3 linked regions of the Arabidopsis thaliana genome follow. The protein of the gene in region 3 interacts with the protein of the main gene of each other region in a biochemical or structural test. Each region holds a gene or a part of one and is shown on either strand. Other genes may lie near its edges.

Region 1 (8,546 bases), on a different chromosome or scaffold from region 3:
AGCTCTCACTAACTATTGAATTCATCGAAGAAGCTCTCTCGTTGTCGCAGAATCTCTTCTTCTCCGTTCTAGAACAATGGGGAATGCTCTTGTCAAAAAAGAACCACCGCCTCCGGTGGTACTCGTTCCTCCGCTCTTTGATTACCCTCCTCTCTCCGCCCGCACTAGGTCTACCATCTCCTCTTCTTCTCCGATCTGATCCTCATACTTTCAATTTGTTAGAATCGCGTGATTTCGAAGTAGTTTTTGTATAACCTAATCTAATCAAATAGATCGATTCTGATTTATAGGTTAAATTGTAATTGTGCGATTGTGAGAAATTGTTGTTGTTGTTGATGCAGGATGTTGGAATCATCATATAATTTGTTGTTTGGGAAGCTTGCATTGAGATGTCTATTTGAGGATTACTTTGAAGAAGCTAATCGATTCACGGGCAAGTTTTTGTTGAAGCCTACTGATGATCCTCATGTGGATTTGGTTGCATCTGTATCCAATTTTGAAATCTCTTTTGTGTTATTTAGTTTCTATATAGTGATGATTCGAGAATTTTCTCTAAATGGATGTATTAGGGATATGTAGAAAATCAGAATTTTCCTTAATAGTCTAAAGGTTTCGGGTGCTGTAGATGGTAGAGTGGAAGGAGATTTTGTTGGGAATGCGGAGTTTCGCTGGCAAAGGTATAGATTCTTTAGTTTTTAATCTGAAAGATTACAAGTAGTTGTTGGAGAATTGGAATACTGATTAGTTTGTTTTTGATAAATATGCAGTGATGTTGATGATCCTCATACTTTTGTTGATCTCTCTGTGTCAACCTCGAATCCGTAAACTTTGTGCTACTTTTGATATATTCTTGGAGGTTATGTTCATTACAGTAGTTTAATGTTTTGAAATTGTTTGTTTTGTTTGTCATCATCATTAAGGGTTCTTCTAATGAGGTCTTCTGCTTACTATCCTAAATATGGAATCGGGGCATTTGCGGTCTACCCTTTGATTTCAAAAATTACGTAAGTCGTATCTAGGTGTGTACCCTGTTGTTATATTTAGATTAGATGTAATATTGTGAGGGTGAATATATGTTGTCTCTGTAGTGGAAAATCATCTGAAGAATATAGAATCATGGGGTTGAGATATGGCTCAACGAATTTGTCTGTCGGAGCTACTGTCACTCCTTTTAGTGGTAAGCGCATAAAGTTGCTCTGTGAATTCACGTTGTTTTCTTTTGGACACAATGCTGACCCTTTGATTCTTCAATTCAGCGAATAACGAATTGCCAAAGCATGCATGGCTTGTAAGCAAGATGGGAAGTCTTACAGTAGGAGTACAATATGAGCCGCTACGTGAGTTAGTTTACATTGTTTTATTTCTGTTGAACAGATTTTACGCATCACATGTGGAAACTAGTATCTATAAATTATGTGATTGAAAGAAAGTGAGCATCAACAATTGTTATTGGATTTTGTTTTAGATGGAAGCAAAGATTTGGCAAAGTACACAGACCCAAGAAACTGGAGTTGTGCTGCTGGCTATGGAGTAGGGTCACAAAGCCCCTTGACTCCTTCTTTTAACATTGGCATTGAACTAGCAAGAAGCTCTCAGGTGATTCTTTTAAAATCCGTGTAGATGAAAACATGTTGTTTTGCTGTCTGTATGCACAAGTCTTAACCCCAAACAATTTTTCAGTATCTCATGGAACTTGACAAACGACCACATTATTTATCTAATGGCATATCATCCATTTTGTAGCATTTTTAGTCTTGCTGATTATGTTATCTTTCTTGTAAATGCAGTTTATTGCTTCGTTCTACCAACACGTAGTGGTCCAAAGACGGGTACAACTCTTTCAAACAAGTCCTTTTTCTGTGCTGCATCTTATACTAGTCTTCCATATATAAAGTTTAGCACATCTTTGGCTCAATATGAAATCGATTTAATGGACTTGGAACAGGTGCAAAATCCTTTCGAAGAAAACCAAGTAGTTGGAATCACAAACTACATTGATTTTGGTTTTGAGCTACAATCGAGGTAGTGAACATCTCTAAGTAAAAAAAAAAAAAACATTGTAGCTACTGTTTGTCTATACAGAAACAGAACTTTATATTTCGTCTTAATATTGAAGGGTTGATGATTCCAAGACGCCACCCAATGCCCCAGATTCTTTATTGCAGGTGGCTGCGTCTTGGCAGGCCAACAAGAACTTTTTGCTGAAGGTATAAAAAAATATTTACCTTATCGAGTTACTCAAAAAGAAACCATTTATCTCAAATTTTGCTCAGTATGTAACATTTTCAACTTTTGCAGGGTAAAGTCGGAGCTCATAGCTCAACATTGTCATTAGCATTCAAGTCGTGGTGGAAACCGTCTTTCGCATTCAATATTTCAGGTATGCGTTGATAAATAACCTGAATGCAGCGAAATCAAGATGAACATAGGTTCTTGGTATTTGAACATGTTTGGACTCATTTTTTATGCAGCAACAACTAATCATAGGACTGGAAATGTCCAATGTGGGTTCGGTCTACGTGTTGATAACTTAAGAGAAGCCAGGTCAGTCCATTTGTGACAAGTTTAAAATTAAATCAACCCTCTTTAGCTTCATGATCTTCTTCACATTGTTTTATTTTGTGAAATTGCAGTTACCAAAGAGCTGATCCAAACTTTGTAATGCTGACACCGAACAAAGAACATTTAGCTGAAGGGATTGTGTGGAAAATGGGGAAGAGACCAATGTATCAAGCCGATGTGGACGCAGAGAATTTTAGTGAGCTGCCAAAAGAACTTAGACCGTCCCAGAAGATTCTCTAAACTACACCATTAATCTTTTTGCACTTTTATCTAGTAGATTTAGATATCAACCAAGTCAAGTATTTAATAAGTTCGACGAAAGAAGAATTACTTAGGAATAACCATTTTTACTCTTATGGAGTACAAGTGTTTAGTGTTCAAAATTAGGAGTGGATTATCTGGTTTAAACTCTTAAGTTTGGTCTTTTTGGGCTTTTGATTTTTCGAAGTTCTTAAATGAAGCGAAATCCTGATTTGTTTTTGGACTTTTCATTCGGTTTGGAACGATATTTATATGGGATGATATATTACGGGTGAACAAATATCAAACAAAAACAAAACAAATAATATAAAGAAATACAACTTAAATTTAAAAATTTTAAAAAATCGATTATTGGTGTACTACGGGTTATGGATATAAGTAACAACATTCTTTATAATATTTACCATAATAAAGGTTACTGTTTAAATTTATTTTCAAAGTACAAAAAGTTTTCGATTCAATTTGATTCGGTAACAAAAAAAAGACCCGGTTTTGTTTATTCCAGATTCATAAGATCATAAAATAGTGGTTTACTAAACAAATTTCAATTCAATTTCGGTTCGATTCGGTTACGTATACAAAACCATAGCTTCGCATAGAAAAACCATTATTTTCAAAAATTAATATTTTTAATTACAAAAAAAAATGAAATAAAACAGAGACCACAATCCCATTGTCCCATGACCAGAAGAAGAAGAAGAAACTAAATGGCGACGACGACGAGTTGTTCGCTTCTCCTTTCTTCCACTCTCTTCCTTCACTCTCCTCCTTCTTCTCACCTCTCCTTCTTCAATCTCTCTTCTTCACGATCCTCTCCAATTTCTCTTTACCCAATCCGATCCAAACGCTATTTCCGAATCCTCTCGAAGCTTTCACTAAACGACAACAACAGAGACGACGATGATGATACTCTTCATTTTACTCCGTTCTCCGCCGTTAAACCTTTCTTCCTCCTCTGTACCTCCGTCGCGTTATCGTTTTCACTCTTCGCCGCTTCTCCCGCCGTTGAATCTGCCTCGGCGTTTGTAGTTAGTACTCCGAAGAAACTTCAAACTGATGAGCTCGCGACGGTTCGTTTGTTTCAAGAGAACACTCCTTCCGTTGTTTACATCACTAATCTCGCCGTGAGGTATCTGAATTTGATTTCTCTCTGGTGAATTTCGTTTTGAATTTCTTCTCTCCGTGATTTGAGGATTGGTCTAATGTTGTTTGAATTAGGCAGGACGCGTTTACATTGGACGTTCTTGAGGTACCTCAAGGCTCTGGTTCAGGATTTGTGTGGGATAAGCAAGGTCATATTGTTACCAATTACCATGTTATTCGTGGTGCTTCTGATCTCAGGTTAGTTATGTTGAAACTTTGAGAATCTGATTGATTTTTGATAGAAATTGGAATTAGTAATTGTTGTATTCTTAGTTTTATAATGAGTACATTGTTTCTTTGGATGGTTTCTTTTGATGTTTGTGTATGATAAGGAAGTTGGATGATGTATATAACAGGGTCACTCTTGCTGATCAAACAACATTTGATGCAAAAGTTGTTGGATTTGACCAAGATAAGGATGTTGCAGTATTACGTATTGATGCACCGAAAAACAAATTAAGACCTATACCTGTTGGAGTCTCTGCTGATCTGCTTGTTGGCCAGAAAGTCTTTGCCATTGGCAATCCAGTGAGTATACATCCTTAAAGTGATCATAGATTAAAGCTCTGCTTTGTGTTTTCTATTGCTAGCTAGGTCAATACTTATGTTTCTTGTTCATACGCACTAAAGCAAGAACTTTTTTGTGCAGTTTGGACTTGATCATACTCTCACAACTGGTGTTATAAGGTATGTTAAATTATATTTGTCTTCTCTTTTTTTTAAGTTGCATTCTACTCTAATCAGATGTGTTCTTCTCATAACGAACTCACAAATGAAAGTGTCAAAAAAGATGATTGGTACTTGAGGATACTGGATACATATATTTTCTCTTGCCCCTCTTCATGCCAAATGGCTATACTATTCCTTTTCTCTTATTAAAACTGTAGCATGTTTGTGCATTATGATTTGTACAGTGGTTTGCGAAGAGAAATTAGTTCTGCTGCAACTGGTCGTCCAATTCAAGATGTGATACAGACAGATGCAGCCATTAACCCTGGTAACAGCGGAGGACCTCTTCTAGATAGCTCAGGAACGTTAATTGGTATAAACACAGCCATTTATTCTCCTTCTGGTGCATCTTCTGGAGTGGGCTTTTCGATCCCAGTTGATACAGTGAGTTCTCTCTTCTTTTTTACCCATTGCAAATCTGATCAGATAGAGTCTTTCTCTATCATTGAATCCACTAACGGGAGACTAAAGTTGTTTCGAGCTCTGTTTCTCTCATGTTCAGGTTGGTGGTATCGTTGATCAGCTGGTGAGATTTGGTAAAGTCACCAGACCAATCTTAGGTATCAAATTCGCACCGGACCAATCTGTTGAGCAATTGGGAGTGAGCGGTGTGCTCGTCTTGGATGCTCCTCCAAGTGGTCCAGCCGGCAAAGCCGTAAGCTCTTCCTGTTTCCAAGTTTCCATATAACAGATATTTTCTCTATGTTTCACTCCGCGGTTTTAATATTGAAATGTGTAAAATTGGTTTTGTTCCACAGGGACTTCAGTCAACAAAACGTGATGGTTACGGGAGACTAGTACTAGGAGACATAATCACGTCGGTGAACGGTACAAAAGTCTCTAACGGGAGTGATCTGTACCGGATTCTCGATCAATGCAAAGTCGGCGATGAGGTAAACTCCGCAGTTTTTGTCAATTAGTTTCTGCATCCGAGATAGTTTTGACACTGATGATGTTGATTAGGTGACCGTAGAGGTTCTAAGAGGCGATCACAAGGAGAAAATCTCTGTAACTCTCGAACCAAAGCCGGACGAGTCTTAGAAACGTCGTTGAAAGAAGTAAATATACATAACGTGTAGAAAAAAAGTCCGGTGGGTTATATTTTTGTATATCAATTGTTCGGAAAATAGATCGTCCAATTGTGTACATAAAATCTGTTTATATTTGCATACATGCGAAAGGTAACCGGAAATAACCAAAATTGCAATGTCTTCAAACGGTCTTATGGTTTGGATTGGTTTTTAATTTCGGTTCAGACATTGGGAGTGACGAGTCTGACACCTAGAAAAAATCAAAATGAGAAAAATGAAAACCGAATTTCGTCGGCTTAATGGACAGTTACCTCATCTTAGCAATGATGCATAGTACTGATTTTGCGGCTTTGTAGTACCAAATTTTTTTTTCAACACTCTCTCGGATGCATAGTACTGATTTTGCAATGATGCATAGTACTGATTTTGCGGCTTTGTAGTACCAAAATAAAATTTCATGATTGTGCGGCTTAGCAATGATACATATTACATAGTACATTAGTACTGATTTTGGACCTTTATTTTAGTCGAGACAATTCTGAACTTACGGATTCCGAAGTTAACAAAGTCCTTTTATAGCTTTTATTCAGTTCCGAACATGGTTACTTTTTATACATGAAACTTCCTAAAATTTTACATCTACAAACATTCGAGTTTGAAAATTTAATGGTTTGATTTTCGACTCATTACCAAGAATTTCTTTTTGATATTATTCTTCATGATTTATCAAAAGATGTACGTGTATTATATGGTTATGTCTTGAGTTCATGTCATGTGTTCGAATCTTTATAATATAGTCTTACACGGTTTAGGTTATTTGTTCAATTGTTAAGTCATTTTACGGTCCCTATTTCACATTATGTTAGTTTTTTAAAATATTTAAAACAACGTACTGTAGTTTTGATAAATTATTGAGTTTTTTTATTAAGTTGTGAACGCATGCTCTCGTTGAGAGATCATTTACTCGAGCTAAGTTATGACTTGGATGGTTGTGTTGCAGGTGAAAGGTAGCTTTGCAAAAAAAAAAAAAGTTTGAGGTTATGTCTGCATGTTTCCCTGTATACAAACTCAACCATTTGTATTTTATTTTTTGGGTGCAAAAACTATAATTTACGTAGTTTTTGAACACTTTCATAACATCAAATATTACCCACGTGATAAGTGAAAACGAACCGAATATGTAATGATCAGCGAAGGTCCCTACGTGGAATTTAATATTTGTGTCATTCTTTTTAAGCAACACCAACAAGACACTGACATGGGTTGGTATTTATAAATTTGCAACGTAAAGTATATGTAGTAAGATTGTATCTTCTATGGTTGGGACTGTATCTAAACCAAACCGGTTTAATAGGGTATATATTTTTTTTGTCTTTGTCTTTGAATTTGTGGGGTCATAAATCACGGGCATCTTCATTTGGAAATGTATTCATAGTAATGTATATAAACTACTTTCGAGCCGACTTGGTAATGATTACGAGAATCCTCTGCTTTTGGAGTAAATTTCTAATTTAATATGTACGTGTATCTAGATATATATACGACGACATGTCGTTACCCAAATGCTTCGTTAGAGGATAGCTTGTTGAGAACTTGACTATGCCAATCATATATGTTTGTTTGGCTTTATGTAGCCCCAATATTAACAACTTAATACTAAAAAACCTAATAACAAAAACATTGAGTAAAAAACTACAGTACTTATAAGTAAAAAGAATAATGATAGTAGCTACTTCATATACATAATTTACATTTCTTAGAAATAATTGTTTGTACTTTCTCGAGTTAGTCAAAAATTAAAGTAGTTTTTTTATAACCGAAATACTATTTAGCTAGTGGAAACTATATTTTTCTGTTTTTGTGCAAGTAAATAGTATGCATATTTATAAGGGTATATGTATAAGCTAGCTCGAAAACCAAAGTAGAAGAGAGTAGGAAGGTGGTAACTGGTAAGTAGGGAGACAAGTGAAGAGCAGAGCTTCTATTCCTCCAATTATTTAGTTAAATAGTTGTGAGACATATTCCTTACATATTCAGTTTCACTATTTTATTCTCTACCACTTAACTTGTTAGTTGGAACTAGGTTATATGGTATTCAACATATACTCATACTTTGTACGTAGACGCTTTCTTGAGTAAATAAATTAAACCTTTCATCAAAATATATATATATATATATATATGTCTTTGTATATTAACAGTATGCACACACATATATATAATTTAGGTCCATAATTTTTCTACCCCGAAAATTAGAGGAGATTAATTTGGTCTCTTATCTACTATAATGTTCGAACTTGTGACTTGAAAATTCTCATTTTGACTAACTAATCAGTATACAGGCTAAACTATCTGATTAGATTTAAGAAATTAAATCGATATGATATGTAAATGAACACATAAATTTTGTGGTCTATTTTTAAAACTCAATTAAAGAGGGTAACCTCATGAACTTTTAAAAAGTATGTCGAAAAGTTGACTATAATTTGAGAAACAAGACATATGGAAAGGAGAACCATTTCATTGATCCATCAAAGTTTCTTTTTTCATGTTTTATCTTCTGCAAAAAAACTGTTTTAGGGTGAACTCTGTGGTACTTTTAAATAGGTTGTTCCGATCCCACTTTGTTGTATAAATAACTAAAAATAATATGTAGTTCCAATGAAAAAGATCATTATCAAATATTAGTAGAATGTAAGTGTATACAGTGCATAAACAAACTGGTTAACGTGTCAAATAAATTACAAATCAGTTAAATCATACAATATAGAACATTTCGCAGTAATCTGCCCCATATTTAGTAGATTTGTTTTTGTAAAT
Region 2 (6,720 bases), 6.4 Mb from region 3:
ACCAAACCGCCTCTCCGAACTTGACTCCGTTCCTAGCCAAAAGCTCAGGGAAGACGCAGCCTAGGGCTCCGAGCATAGCCCACCTGCTGTGGATAACTTCTAGCTCACGGTTCCTTGCGAATGTCTCGGGATCAGCTGAAAGTCCAGCGGTGTCCCATCCGTAGTCTCCGGGGAACTCTCCGGTAAGGTAGCTCGGTGACTCGCCAGAGAATGGACCCAAGTACTTGACTCGGTCGGATCCGTACCATGGGCTGCCTGATGGACCCTTTGGCTTGGCAACAGTCTTCCTCATTGTCACACGGCCGCTTCCGAGGACTTCAGATGCCGCGGGGGAAAGGTTCACAGCCTTTCCGGCGAAGGCAGGGGAGGAGAGAGCCATTGTGGAGGCGGCCATTGAAACTTTTTGTGTTTTTTTTTTTTTTTGGTGACTAACTTGTGAGTGAGAGTGATTGAAAATGGTTAGGTAGGGTTGGATTATATAGGAAAATTGCGAGTAACGTTTGTTATCTATGAAGTAATCTATATCTCTTTACTCATTGGATTTTTGAGATTTTGGTTTTAACGTTTACTATTCTTATGTGGCAGTCTCTAGTCCACTAGCTTTTGCTATGATTTTTTCATTGCAGCCAAAGCATTTCGAGACCACATGTTGCAAGTCTTTTGGAAGCAGCTTAATAGTTCTGAATAGAGATAACTTATTTGTGTGATCTTTCCTTTAAATAAAAGTAAAGATAGTGTGATATTGATGACCGAAACATCATAGAGAGTAACATTAGAAGTCCAACATCACTACCAATTTACAATAACATTGATTCCATTGTCAGTTTATCCACTAACCTGATAAATCTCATGAATAATGTAATTAATTTAACCTTGAAACTCAGTTGTTTTTGCTTTTAAATCAAAATGCAAAGACTCAAAAACACTGATTATTTGCATATTTTGCAGAAACATAAAAACTATCCAATTGATTGTTCAAACACTGAAAAACTATCATCTGGTATGTTCAACATCATTGGTTTAGACAATATGTAGCTTGTAAATTTTTAATCATGATTCTAGTAATCTGTTTTGTAAACTTGAACAACCTTTTAAAATCTAAAGTAACTCATTCTATCTTTCTAATTCATCATAAAATTCAAAATTTGTAGAGATGAAAAACCACAACAGAAAACATTTTGTTAGAGGTTTAATTTGCAACAAACTATTCCTCAATCACTTTGATAGAAACTCTTTAAGCTATCATTCGTAGTTTACTGATTTTTTCATCACCCTAAATAATTTCGACAGTAAAAGTTTTTTACAAAACACAATTTTATTTTTACAATCACTAATTGCCCTCACACATGAATTCACCCACTCTTTGGAACGCAATTTCTAAGCTTTGGGGTGAAAATGAATAAACCTAGCTATATTCATGTTCTCCTGTTCTATTCTCTTGTTCTTTCGATACCACACACCAATGACACAGGCGCTAGCTCTTCTATGCTCCAAACATATATGTTATCATGTGTTCACCAATTATAGCTAGTGTGACAAGCGAACCTGGTCCACAGAGGATGTCACGGAAGGCAATCTCTCGCACGACAATGGATTTTAACTAATATGTAAGATATATGATCAGTCCATTCAATGCGTGGATGTGATTTTAATATGGTATCAGAGCAATGTGATATATTGTTATCCAGATATCGTATGAGCCAATGTTACGAGCTTCAGAATCAACCAAACACGGAAGAAACTACTTCATTATCTATTCTCTAATTCTCTCAATCAGAAGAAAAAAAACGATTGCAATTTCTTCTTCAATGCGATCATATTTTGTGAAGAGACGATATACAAGTTAAATCAAGGGAATATAAAAAACTTATATAAAAGACTCTTTCGTGTTGTTCAAGCTAACATCCGAGAATCACATTTTCTCTTGATTTGAAAAGAACATAATCTTTGTACCCATTGCCTTAATATGTTCAATCACGTTGCTCGATTGTAGAAATAGCCTCTACAACGGAGTGAACCCAAGAACTGAAAATCCAATTCAATTATAGTTCTACGAAACATATTTAGAGAACAATGAGTTATTTGATTAATGACAAATCATACAAAGTCTTTGCAAATTTACATCTGAAAGTCTCTACCATCCACCACAAACACAAACCTACTCTTTCTCCTCCTGTCTCTCACTCGAATTCAAAAGATTGAAAGAAAAGTAAATTACAAACAGATAGAACTTGGCTCACTTTCCGGGAACAAAGTTGGTGGCAAAGGCCCAAGCGTTGTTGTTGACTGGATCGGCCAAATGGTCAGCAAGGTTCTCTATCGGTCCCTTACCAGTGACGATGGCTTGAACGAAGAATCCAAACATAGAGAACATAGCCAATCTTCCGTTCTTGAGCTCCTTTACCTTCAACTCAGCGAAGGCCTCTGGGTCGGTAGCCAAACCCAATGGGTCGAAACTGCCACCGGGGTAAAGCAAGTCCTCGGCCTCTCCCAATGGCCCATTTCCTGCGACTCTGTAACCTTCAACGGCTCCCATCAAAATAACTTGTGTGGCCCAAATGGCCAAAATGCTCTGAGCGTGAACCAAGCTAGGGTTTCCCAAGTAATCGAGCCCTCCATCGCTGAAGATCTGTGAACCAGCCTTGAACCAAACTGCCTCTCCAAACTTGACTCCGTTCCTGGCCAAAAGCTCAGGGAAGACGCAGCCTAGGGCTCCGAGCATGGCCCACCTGCTGTGGATAACTTCTAGCTCACGGTTCCTTGCGAATGTCTCGGGGTCAGCGGATAGACCAGCTGTGTCCCATCCGTAGTCTCCAGGGAACTCTCCGGTAAGGTAGCTGGGTGACTCGCCAGAGAATGGACCCAAGTACTTGACTCGGTCGGATCCGTACCATGGGCTGCCTGATGGACCCTTTGGCTTGGCAACAGTCTTCCTCATTGTCACACGGCCGCTTCCAAGGACTTCTGATGCCGCAGGGGAAAGGTTCACAGCCTTTCCGGCGAAAGCAGGGGAGGAGAGAGCCATTGTTGAGGCGGCCATTGAAACTTTTTTGTGTTTTTTTTTTTTTTATGACTAACTTGTGAGTGAGAGTGATTAAAACTGGTTCGATAGTGTTGGATTATATAGGGATATTGTAACGTTTGTTATATCTGAAGTAATCTTTATCTGTTCATTCATTGGATTTTAAGATTTTTGTTTTATCGTTTAGTAGTCTTACGTGGCAATCTCTAGTCCACCAGCATTTGTTTTGATTTTTTCATTGCAGCCAAGCGTTTTGTGACCACAAGTTATGAGCCACTGAATACTTCAACGGTTACACTTACTTACACCCTCGTGACAAGAATGATTTTTGCTACAACCCAATAACTAAAACTTAAAGTATAACATTTTGAAAATATAGATTCTGATGATCGAAACATTAATATAAAGTAACATTATAAAAAGCATTTACCCACACATAAATATCAATATTTTCAATGGTAATTAGTTCATCATCACTACCAGTTTAATTTCAATTATGAATCGATTTCATCGTCACTTTATCCAATAACCAAAATAATCTCATGAATTATGTGATATCACCTTAAAACTTTGACGTTTTACTCTTTATCGAAGAAACACAACGATTAATGAAACACTGTTTTAACTTATCGACCATTTCTAAGAACATGAAAGAACTATATTAATTCATATGGCATGTTCATCATCATGGGTTTAGACTTTAGAGAACATATAGCTACTTTTTTTCTTATCATGATTCAAGTTATCTTTATTGTAAACTTCAACAACCTTTTGAACAAACTTATTTATTCGCTTTTTCCGAATTCATCAACAAATTACTCCTCAATCACACTCCTATAGAAAACGGTTTAAGCTATCATTACATGTCTAGTTGGTTTTACTCAGCCCTAGAAGTGTTGTTTATTGCATCACTTTCCACGAAGCACAATTTTTCTTTTTTACAATCACTAGACCTCACAGGCTCACACATATGCTTTAGAGCACATTCTAAACTTTGAACTATAAAAGCTGTTAACACTAATACACTATGCGTTCTTTTTTGCTCCAAACACTTTTGATCCATTATTAGGAGACACTCCACTTAGAAAGATTTTCTAATCCTTTGGTCAACTAGGAAGTTCAAGGTTTTTCTAAACAGAAATTCATTTCACAAGTAATTTAATTTATAAGGAAATGAATAGAGAAATCAAATCATTGAAGAACTACAAAATATAGATTCAAGGTCAGGTCTAAGAAAATATTCCTGAAGCTCAAAAAAGAGTTTTCCTCTCACATTATAGAATTGGCCTTTACTTCAACATTTTCCCACCTATTCCACATTTGGTCAGAACATTTTTAATTACTTGTGGATCAATTTCCGGTTGAAATGGGTTTGGTGAATATCCGGTTCAGTTATATGGTGGCCGTTGGAATTGGCTTATTAGTTGTGGCCGTTGTTGAAGCCGTTGGTATTGGTAAGGGAGAAGCAGACTTGTGGCTATGAGTCTATGACCATGACTCGTGATTATGGAGCTGTCTTATGACCCTGACCATCACCTTGATCTGGTGGATTCCAATGTTTTCTTCTTCTTCTAATAAAATATTATGGTCAATACAGGTGCTAATTAAGATGGTAATAATTTCTTATGTTTCTGTGGTAAAGTTTGATTCAATTCCGTAGTTTTAGATAATCTTATTTCCATACATAAATTTTATAGTTTTATCTACTTTGTTCTTATGTTTTATCTCTAGCCAAGAGTTATTATTATTATCAGAAGAAGAAAAAAAAAAGAAGCATATATACAAAAGGTTTAATAAAATGTATTATACAAGGCAATTATCCAAATTTTTTTTGTTTTGGTTTACATTGATGCTCTCAGGATTTCATAAGGATAGAGAGATCTATTCGTATACGTGTCACGTCATGAGTGGGTGTTTCGCCAATCCATGAAACGCACCTAGATATCTAAAACACATATCAATTGCGAATCTGCGAAGTGCGAGCCATTAACCACGTAAGCAAACAAACAATCTAAACCCCAAAAAAAATCTATGACTAGCCAATAGCAACCTCAGAGATTGATATTTCAAGATAAGACAGTATTTAGATTTCTGTATTATATATAGCGAAAATCGCATCAATACCAAACCACCCATTTCTTGGCTTACAACAACAAATCTTAAACGTTTTACTTTGTGCTGCACTACTCAACCTCAATGGCCGCCTCAACAATGGCTCTCTCCTCCCCTGCCTTCGCCGGTAAGGCCGTCAAGCTTTCCCCCGCGGCATCTGAAGTCCTTGGAAGCGGCCGTGTGACAATGAGGAAGACTGTTGCCAAGCCAAAGGGCCCATCAGGCAGCCCATGGTACGGATCTGACCGTGTCAAGTACTTGGGTCCATTCTCTGGCGAATCACCGAGCTACCTTACCGGAGAGTTCCCCGGAGACTACGGATGGGACACCGCCGGACTTTCAGCTGACCCCGAGACATTCGCAAGGAACCGTGAACTAGAAGTTATCCACAGCAGGTGGGCCATGCTCGGAGCCCTAGGCTGCGTCTTCCCTGAGCTTTTGGCTAGAAACGGAGTCAAGTTCGGAGAGGCGGTTTGGTTCAAGGCCGGTTCACAGATCTTCAGCGATGGAGGGCTCGATTACTTGGGAAACCCTAGCTTGGTTCACGCTCAGAGCATTTTGGCCATTTGGGCCACACAAGTTATTTTGATGGGAGCCGTTGAAGGCTACAGAGTCGCAGGAAATGGGCCATTGGGAGAGGCCGAGGACTTGCTTTACCCCGGTGGCAGCTTCGACCCATTGGGTTTGGCTACCGACCCAGAGGCATTCGCTGAGTTGAAGGTGAAGGAGCTCAAGAACGGAAGATTGGCTATGTTCTCTATGTTTGGATTCTTCGTTCAAGCCATCGTCACTGGTAAGGGACCGATAGAGAACCTTGCTGACCATTTGGCCGATCCAGTTAACAACAACGCATGGGCCTTCGCCACCAACTTTGTTCCCGGAAAGTGAGCCAAGTTTTATCTGTATTTTGCTTCAGTCTTTGCTTCGTGAGTGTGAGAGGAGAAAGAGAGCTTGTTTAGATGTAAAATTTGCAAGACTTTGTATTTTTTTCATTAATCAAATAACTCGTTTTTCTCTCAAATTATCTGGCAATTACCAAATTGGATTCGTTTTATGTCCTTCGGATCACTCAATTGCAGAGTTTATTACCACAATTGAACAACTTATACATGTCAAAGTTAAGTTAATGGTATTGGAGAATCAAAAATTCATTGATTTTATCCGTACAAATCAAACACATTTGTTTAAAAATTCACTTTGACCAAAAATAGATGACGTTTTCCACTAGAAAATATACTAACAAAGCAAAACCAAAAACTGATGAATAATATATTCTTCTACACACTAGTACATTGTAAAGATCTGGTTATTTTTTTCTTCCTCTGGTGTAAAATCTTAATCAGTTACTCCTTCTCTATCGCTTAACTGAAGAGTCATCTTAATATTCATTGAAGCCAACTCTGCAGCCAAGTACCTGAACACATAGGGCATTGCAACTGTTTCCATGCCTTTACTTGTCTTGCAAGAATAGCAAGTTACCTTCTTTGGAGTTCTACCAGGAGGTAACTTTCCAATTTCTTGAATAAGCTTCTTCTGTTGAACGTTCACAACAGATGATGTGAGCAAGCTTCCACATAGCGAACACA
Region 3 (8,446 bases):
GTGCTAAACGCACATAAAAATGTTTGATTGCAAATGCATACTTTTAGGTATCTAAGAATGTTTGATTGCAAATGCATACTTTTGGGTATCTTTCCATAGTTACCAGTTTTTTACTACCAATGTTTTCATTCACCAAAAGTGAAAGTAGCGGTTCATTTAATATTCCAACAAGAACAAAAATCTTTTAGTCATATCATATATATAACCAATTTCCTTCGAAAATAGCTCGTTTGAGTTTTGATTAATATCAATTGATAAAAAAAACAAAATCTCTTTTAATATAATGAATAGATACATACTTATTTATTATATTTATATATTTTATTCTAAAATAGTATTTATATAATTTTAAAATCGGAAAAATATTAAAATAAGCTATTCGTCAAAATCTGCCAAAATTCGCCGTAACCTTTAACACTTTAAGTTCACACTTTTCAATTACTTAAATCCATATGAGTCATGGTTTTGTCATACATGAAATCCAGACTAATTTAGGAATTTTTAACGATCATGTACCAACCATTGACAGTGTTAATAACTATTCCCTAACTATAATATTTTTCATTACCAATCATGATCGTATTTCGAATCATTGTTAAATTTCAAAATCAGATTACATTCATTATTTAACATCTTCTAAATAGTGACAGCTCATAAACCAATATCCACCCACACACACACACACAAATTCTGCTTCTCACCATCTTAAGTAGATTTGCCGAATCAAGTCTCTAAACAAAAACAGTCTTCGATTTCTTCACCTCTCTCTCTCTCTTAGACAAGCCATGAAAGGACAGAACAAAAGCTCAACATCTTCTTGTAACATCCATCCAGTAGATGTTATTGAAGGTGTGTGTCCTCTCTGTCTTAACGAGAGGCTTTTGGTCGTGGCTTCTCTACAGAGATTACGCCCTCCATGTCCTCCTTCTTCCTACCAAACCATCCCGAAAACCATCCTTCAAAATTCTTCTAGAAAGAAACCCATCAGACTCTTCTCCTTCTTTAGCTTCTTCGAACTCCGACATCACAAGTCCGATCACCAGAACACCTCCATTATCAGTCCAGAAGGTACCATATGTACTAAACTCTTTTATTTAATTTAGAGAGTATATATATAGTAAATAGCCACAAATATTTATATATCCACTCTCATTTTCTGAATTTATTAAGTTTTAATCGACTAATTTAACGTTTTTCTATTAACTAGTAAACATTAACATTGACCAAATTTTGGGCCAAATTTGTTAAGTCAATAATTAGAACTGCGCACACGTTAATTACAAATAGTTGAAGAATAAAATGATCATTTTTCCCTTCTCTAAATAAATAATATATTTTTTGTTTATTAAATAAATAATATTTTAATTTAACTTTTCAAATATTTTCACTTTATAATTTTGTTTACCTATTTGCGGATTCTTAGGTTAAGAAAAAATATTAAATCTAACTAAAAGAGTAAATATTTCAATAATAATTACCAAATTTAAAACGTCCATAAAGATCAACGGTACAAGGTGGCTCTATTAATTTATTTTATATATCTATAGATTCATTCATTTCGATCAACTTCGAAGACAACCGAGCAACTTCATGGGAGAAAGGAAAAGAAACGCAATATCAACATGTCCACACGAAGAAGGAGTTTGTTCCTCAGTCCACACCACTTCCTCCTCTACTGTCGTGGAGAAAACGGATTCGTAGACTCTTACACGTCATCAGTTTCAAAAGCCGGTCTAGAGCATGTCACTTGTCCGCCAAGGTTAAAAGTGAAGATGACTTGAGTAGAAGTTGGTGAAGGCCTTTGTCCCCCACTTAACAGAAACTCTAAGATTAATAACTTCTCAAAATTTACAATAATTTTTTTGTTATAGGTATTCTTCTTGTTCTTTTTCTCTTACATAATTTATACTTAATTATTTGCAACTCTAAGATGAAATCAATATTCGATTCACAACGAAAAAACATTAACCAAACAACAACCTATGTCGTTATTCATTGCAAAACCGATCTACAGAAAGATTAACAATGATCAACGATTAATCATAAGTTATAACTTAATCAATCATTGCCGCTTTTCAAAATGTCAAAAAAAAATTGTATTAAAACAGACAAAAGAAAACTAAAAGAAAGAAACTAAAAGCTTTTCTAAAAGGACATGTAATACATTTGTTTATGGGATTAAAAGGCCCAAGTAATAGAAAAAAAACAATTTTTTTTATCAAGCCTTCTTAATTAATTTTTGAAAAAGCAAAAGTTTATTTAGAAGGCGCATGTAAGAGAACCTCGTTTGCTTAGAGATAGCCGTTGAAATGGCTTGAAAACTCCTCCGTCGCACCACACAAGCGAATCAAGAGAAAGACTTGTCTTATTGGACATTATTTGGAGAGAAAGATTTAAATCTTGGAGACCAAGTACTTTGGTGTATGAAAGTATGTCTATGAAGTCAAGTCCGTGAACTCGAAAGAAAAATTATCTAGATCTTGATATATTGGGATCAATTACGAATAAAGCACTTTCAAGTGTATGTCGTTGTCGAAATAGGCACAAAATCGTGTGTTGATCAAATTTAAGCGCTTTTCCACATGAGCTATTCTATTCTATAATGGAGTATTTGATATGGTAACAGTCGATTTTTGTTGATCAAATTTAAGCGCTTTTCCAGTAGAAATCTTGTAATCTCATCTTCAAAAGAGATCATGGAGAAAATCACCGGAGGAGAAGACATTGAAGACGGCGAAGGAGATGATAATGACGTGGGGTTAGAAGTTTAAACATATTTATTTTTGTTAGAAAGAGCTTTCTATTTTTTGAGTTACGTTTCACATTTTGGGTTTTAAGTTTTTTTTTTCTTTATATAAAATTTTATTTTAAGATTTGATTTGGTTTGATGAAGGAATGATTTTGGAGATTCTTTTGAAAACATGTTTAAGGGTTGGGTACAGGTAAACATAAATTTTAGATGTTTTTGGCTTCTTTTTTATTGGGAAGTTTGATTATGAATTTTACCATTATGAGGAGTATTTGGAACGCTCATGATTTTTAGATCAATTGTTTCGTAAGTTCGATTTTTGGACTGTCCGAAATAGGACAGAGTTGCTGGATTTGCATGGGATACTTTTCTTTTCGTCAACATCGAAGACGTCCTCTAGAATAGAAATTAATATTTACTCTTGCAGTGTATGCTTTAGATCCCGGCTCAATTCATTATGAGACCTATGGCAAAACTCAAAATAAAATAAAATCTCTTAGTAAATGTTTTTTTTTGGAAAAATTGGGGCCTTTTAGTCTTAACAATTTTTTTGAAATTGATTAGTAACCTTGGGCATTTGCCTACCTTGCCACCCCCAGAGACGGCCTGTACGAGCCAGGTACACCAGACGAATGGAGAAAATCACTCTAGGGGAGACGCTACCTTCACTTTTGCAAACTATCTTGTGAAGGTACGCGCGGCCATAAACACTTGCCATTATGTTCTGATTTTTGGGGAACCACTAGAGCAAAAACAACGGCTCCTTCATGATTTACCAAATTAATTTTATAATCTAGATTTTGGAATCAAATAAGTTCCTAACATGTACTTTAACATATTAGTTTTAAATTCTGTTTGATTTATCAAAAAAAAAAACTATGATGAAGCTGTTCTAATTCCACAGTTTTTTTCTGTTAAGAGATGCTAGATGATATCAATCACCTAGTCACTTAGGTGTAATAAAACTATATATAATCAGAAAATTCCAAGTTAAAAACAAAAGGATATAAGTATTACAACAATTTAAGCTGTCCATTTCCTTTTGTCTCAACATGAAGAGAAGGTCACACACTCTCTACTAAATTTAAGTACATGATAATTTAGCTTTCTTCACCATCATCGGTGATGAATTTTCCATTACCAGGATTAATGGCAGCGAAGAAGAAGAAAGCAACGTTTAAGAGGACAAGTGGTTCGATATCTTGAATTGGTATACCGGTCTCAATGTTGAGTTGAGCTAATGCTCCTTTCCCGGTAATAATCTCTCCTATCAGTGAAAATGCTATTCCCAACTGTGCCAATCTTCCTACGAATAACTCGTTCGCCTTCGTGAACCCAAACAATGGACCTTCACACAACAAAACAACAAACATATTCAAATTTATTCAAAACATTAGACCAAGCAACTCTTTAAGTAATCTCATATTTGTATCTTTTTTTCTTTTCAGAAACACTATTTTATTTAAGTTAACGGGAAGAGACTCTCTGCTAGAGAAAGCCATTCAGGAACCAATGTGCTTACATGGGGGAAAAAGATAGAAATTGATAACGATAAATAATCTATCAGGCCAACGATAAATAAATAAACATTTAGAGATTATTTTTGGAGATTGACAGTTCCATGCTAGTATCTTTTGTCTCACATTTGTATCTTAGGATAACGATAAATAAACATAAAGCCGATCCGGACACTACACTTAGGCCAATTCAGTTATACTAGTTACTATAGTACTCTATCAGGTTATATTATTTGCATTGGTTGTTCAGAGCAATGTCATTGTAACAAAGATAGAAATAGAAATGTTGAGAGATACCTTGTTCTTTGAGACCGAGGGCAGATCGGACGTTTTTGCCGGGAGGAATGACGGCTTTCTCGAGCCCGGTGGGAGGATCGTCGACGAATTTTCCTCTGTCTCCGAGAGCTCCAATGGCTCCCAACAGAGTGAACAAGATGAAGAAGAGAAGCAATGGCTCTGCTTCGTAAATCGGTATCCCTGTCTCCAGATTCAGCTGAGCTAATATCCCTTTTCCCGTCAACGCCTCACCAAGCAACGATGCCTATGCATAGAAACACAGCTTTCATACTAAAGCTTCTTTCTTGGAAGATAAGTTAGTGTATTTCATAGAGGGGACTTACAGCGAAACCGATCATAGCAACACGACCAACGAATAGCTCATTCGCCTTTGTGAAACCAATCCCACCAGACGTTCCAAAGATGCCATCCTCAACCTTGCTCTTCGGCTTCTCAACCTAAAATGTATATGAAAATCTTAACATTACCATCAAACACACAAGAAATGTTCCTTGTGGGACAAGTAAAGAGTATGTGAAAACCTTTTTAGGAGCAGCTTTGGTTTTGGGTTTGAAGAGAGCGAGAGGAACGAATGATTGTCTCCTAGATGGTAGTGCAACCGGAGAGTTTCCAGAGAGGAAGAGATGGTGAACTTTGGGCTGAGCCAAAGGGCTCTTGTTCCTCAAAAAATGGCCGGCGGTGACGCCTGAAGTAAGCAGCATGGTTTGAGCCATTCTTTCTGAGGATGAGAGAAGGATCAGTGATGTGTTTTGTGTTGTGTTGTGGAAGTGAAGAGATTAAAAGATATAAGGGAAATCTATTGATGGGCTTAAAGTGCGTCCACGTCTCCCAATTGTCCTTTCCATACTCTCTATGTGGTGAACTGGAGATAACGTTTTTGTGGAGAAAAATAAATCTATCAATATAATAGTTTTTAAAAAATTTAGATACACTTTTTAAAAGTTATACTTATTTAGACAGTAAACAAAAAAACAAAATAAATGTCATATTCAAAGAACCATTTATGACGAACTAATAACTCCTTCTAATAAAAATATAAAATATTTCTTTCAAGAAAATCATATTTTGGAACTAAAATCCAATTTATGTATTGATGTAAATGAATTGTGTCTGGTCAAAACTAAAGAAACATACTCATAGAAGATTCACGTCAAAAGGGTATGTTATACTAGCAAAGTACATACTAATGGAACTGGTACATTAGATATTACAAAAACGAAATGGCTTAATTTTTTTTATAATATGTATATAAATAAGAACACCTATATTGAAAAAATTCACATCAATTACATATTTTGTAAAAAATATTATATTTGAAAAATATCTAATTCTTTTTTAATATAGCCAGAGCCGGGCACAAACACAAGCGGGCTAAACCCAAACTTACGGTCGCAAATAGTATAAAAACAATTTTGGCTTCATATTTTCGTATTTGTTAGGTAGTCTAGTGGTAAAGACTGGTCCGAAAGAATCTTCGACACTTAGGTTCAAATCTTTAGTTTTTTCGGTTTTGTTAAGGGCTGATTGGTTCTCCCTCTACCACCCATAAACGCAGCGTTTGCGGTTGGTAGCGGTTATTAGCGATTGGAACCAATCATAGAAACCGCTAGATATCGCTTTGGACCGCTCAAAATTGCCAATTTTCAAAAGCTCCTTCCCGCAAGCGTTTGCGGTTGCGGGCGGTAGCGGTTAGATTAAAAATAAAAAAATAATCTATTTTTAGTTAATTAAAATAATTGTGGTTTCCACCCAAACCCTAATCACTATAATTAAAATAATCTAATCTTTTATATATCTTATTTTTATTAGAAAACCCTAATCAATATATTGTAACTCTATTCTCTCAATTATGGCATCCGATGAAAATCAAAATCAAGAATCAAACATAAGTATCATCTATCATTTTATTCACTCATTAGCTAGTGTAATTCTTTGACTATTTCATGGCATCATTGTTTTTATTTTATTTTGTATTCTTTTGAGTTTTTTGATTGAATACATGTTTCGATTTGTTTTCTCGATTAGAAAATGTTTTAGTCGGACGAGATGATATATTGTATTTTTATTTGGTCAGAAAATCAATTTTTCTAATATATTATATTTTTATTTCTTTTAATAGTAATATATTATATTTATTTTGGTTATTTTTTATTTAATTACTATCGCACCGGCTGGTTTATCAGTCATAAAACTCCCGCAAACGCACCTATTATCAAACGCTCAACCAGTCGTTCAAAATGCTTGATAACGCTTAAAACCGTGATCGCCCGTTTCCGCAAACTCCCGTAACCGCAACCGCACCCGCTTATAACCTTAAAATAGTTAGGGACGGTAAAAACTTGAATCGAGTAAAAAACATTTGAAACTACAAATACTCGCACAACACTCAGAAAGGAATAATTTTTGGTGTTTAATTAGTTTTCTCGATGAGAGACGTGTTTGAACTTTGGACACGAACACCTCATCTCACATCATGACAAGCGGGTTTAGGCATATTTGTTTTCTTTCTATGAGTCTCATTAAAGTTATAATTTAAACACAAAACATTGTCTTCTACTAAAAAGTTCATTATTTTGTAATTTAAATTGTATCAATTGAACAATCATCATATATATTCAAAATGGACATATAATATTTAAATATCATAAACTTTCATTTTAATTTTAATTATATGTACATACATTAAACCCCTATTTTGAAAACAATTTCACATCAATCACACCTTCTTCTTTTTTTGGGCAACTCACATCAATATACCTTTTAAAAAAAAATATTACATAAAATCCCTAATAGTTTGAGAAAACCTGATTGACTCGATTCGAGTCAAAAATATGTGCGACTTATAAATTGCTCGCAACACTCCGAAAGAGTATATTTGTAGTAACAAGTAAGTGGTGTTTAATTAATTGTCTCCATGTAAGACGTGTTTGAACACGAACTGCTCATTTCACGTTATTACAAAACAAGTGGGCTTAGGCATATACTTTGGGAACAAACCTAATAAGTAAAATAACAATAATGTGACATGTATTTTTGGATGTTTTTACATTTTATTTAATCAATTAGAAAATAGTATTTTTCTCTTTAACATGTTATAGTTTTATGTTGGCGTGTATCTGTTAATGAACTTTCAGATTAATGATTTTCGAGTATAGATTTTATTAATTTCGCTAGGACGCTATGTGATAATTTATACATTATCATAGCAAATAGCCAAATAACATGGTACACATAACATAATATGTCACAAAGAAATACAGTTAACTTACTAGGAAACACATATATTTCTATCTACTGCCGTTTCATTTATCAGAAACGTGGGGACGGAGACATCGGGTAAACATCCTCAAGATATTTCAAAATCTAGAGAACAACTAGCTGTTGATCGAGGACAGACTGGTCCGGCATTTCACCAATTTTTATGATGCATTTGTATTGGGTTTCAAATTTTTGAATCGCATTTTGTTAAGATTTTTGTAAAAAACAATAGACCCCAAAATAAGGGAAAAACCGACGCATAGATCAAATCTTTAAGTTCAAGTTCGATTCTAATCCATAAGGCTCTATAACTTAGCGTTTGCATAGTTATAACACAATATTCATTTGTGAGTTAGGTTCAAGCAATTATACGAAATTATGCTAAGTATAAAATACCTAAGATCATGTATTAGGTGGTGTGCGAGACATACATGCATTAAGATCAAACTCAACTAGAAAGAATAGTATAAACGATCAAACAAAATCATAGAAACTGCCAACCTAAACCAGATTTAACATCCCCATGAATCCCTTTTGAAACTCCCTCAAACCCAACTAGTGATCTACTAGCTCATGGCAAAAGAGCGAATTAAAAGTTGGGTTGAGTAAACCATAAGAAAAAGAA

Evidence for each region.
Region 1: the proteins of NPQ4 (region 3) and DEG1 form a complex in vitro, tested with the Arabidopsis thaliana proteins (one study listed by BioGRID).
Region 2: the proteins of NPQ4 (region 3) and CAB2 form a complex in vitro, tested with the Arabidopsis thaliana proteins (one study listed by BioGRID).

Annotation. Positions count from the first base shown.
Region 1 is NC_003074.8:10,363,849-10,372,394, reverse strand, and holds DEG1 (DegP protease 1), read left to right. Parts: upstream 1-3,450; 5' UTR 3,451-3,530; coding exon 3,531-3,952; intron 3,953-4,041; coding exon 4,042-4,164; intron 4,165-4,322; coding exon 4,323-4,494; intron 4,495-4,615; coding exon 4,616-4,653; intron 4,654-4,880; coding exon 4,881-5,079; intron 5,080-5,197; coding exon 5,198-5,350; intron 5,351-5,453; coding exon 5,454-5,588; intron 5,589-5,658; coding exon 5,659-5,736; 3' UTR 5,737-5,786; exon of another isoform or gene 5,787-6,046; intron 6,047-6,726; 3' UTR 6,727-6,743; downstream 6,744-8,546. Other genes in the region: AT3G27930 (beta-galactosidase), read left to right, coding at 77-168, 342-486, 610-677, 768-821, 921-1,004, 1,089-1,177, 1,257-1,337, 1,466-1,596 and 6 more. UniProt on the Arabidopsis thaliana protein: Serine protease that is required at high temperature. May be involved in the degradation of damaged proteins. In vivo, can degrade beta-casein.
Region 2 is NC_003070.9:10,472,853-10,479,572, forward strand, and holds CAB2 (chlorophyll A/B-binding protein 2), read right to left. Parts: upstream 3,118-6,720; 5' UTR 3,041-3,117; coding exon 2,237-3,040; 3' UTR 1,804-2,236; downstream 1-1,803. Other genes in the region: CAB3 (chlorophyll A/B binding protein 3), read right to left, coding at 1-394; CAB1 (chlorophyll A/B binding protein 1), read left to right, coding at 5,219-6,022; NRPA2 (nuclear RNA polymerase A2), read right to left, coding at 6,470-6,720.
Region 3 is NC_003070.9:16,868,598-16,877,043, reverse strand, and holds NPQ4 (Chlorophyll A-B binding family protein), read right to left. Parts: upstream 6,824-8,446; 5' UTR 6,770-6,823; intron 5,534-6,769; exon of another isoform or gene 5,426-5,533; 5' UTR 5,277-5,425; coding exon 5,085-5,276; intron 5,001-5,084; coding exon 4,887-5,000; intron 4,808-4,886; coding exon 4,564-4,807; coding exon of another isoform or gene 4,496-4,563; exon of another isoform or gene 4,098-4,495; coding exon 3,850-4,097; 3' UTR 3,620-3,849; downstream 1-3,619. Other genes in the region: AT1G44608 (uncharacterized protein), read left to right, coding at 786-1,068, 1,548-1,795. UniProt on the Arabidopsis thaliana protein: Plays an important role in non-photochemical quenching (NPQ), a process maintains the balance between dissipation and utilization of light energy to minimize generation of oxidizing molecules, thereby protecting the plant against photo-oxidative damage; acts upstream of DLDG1.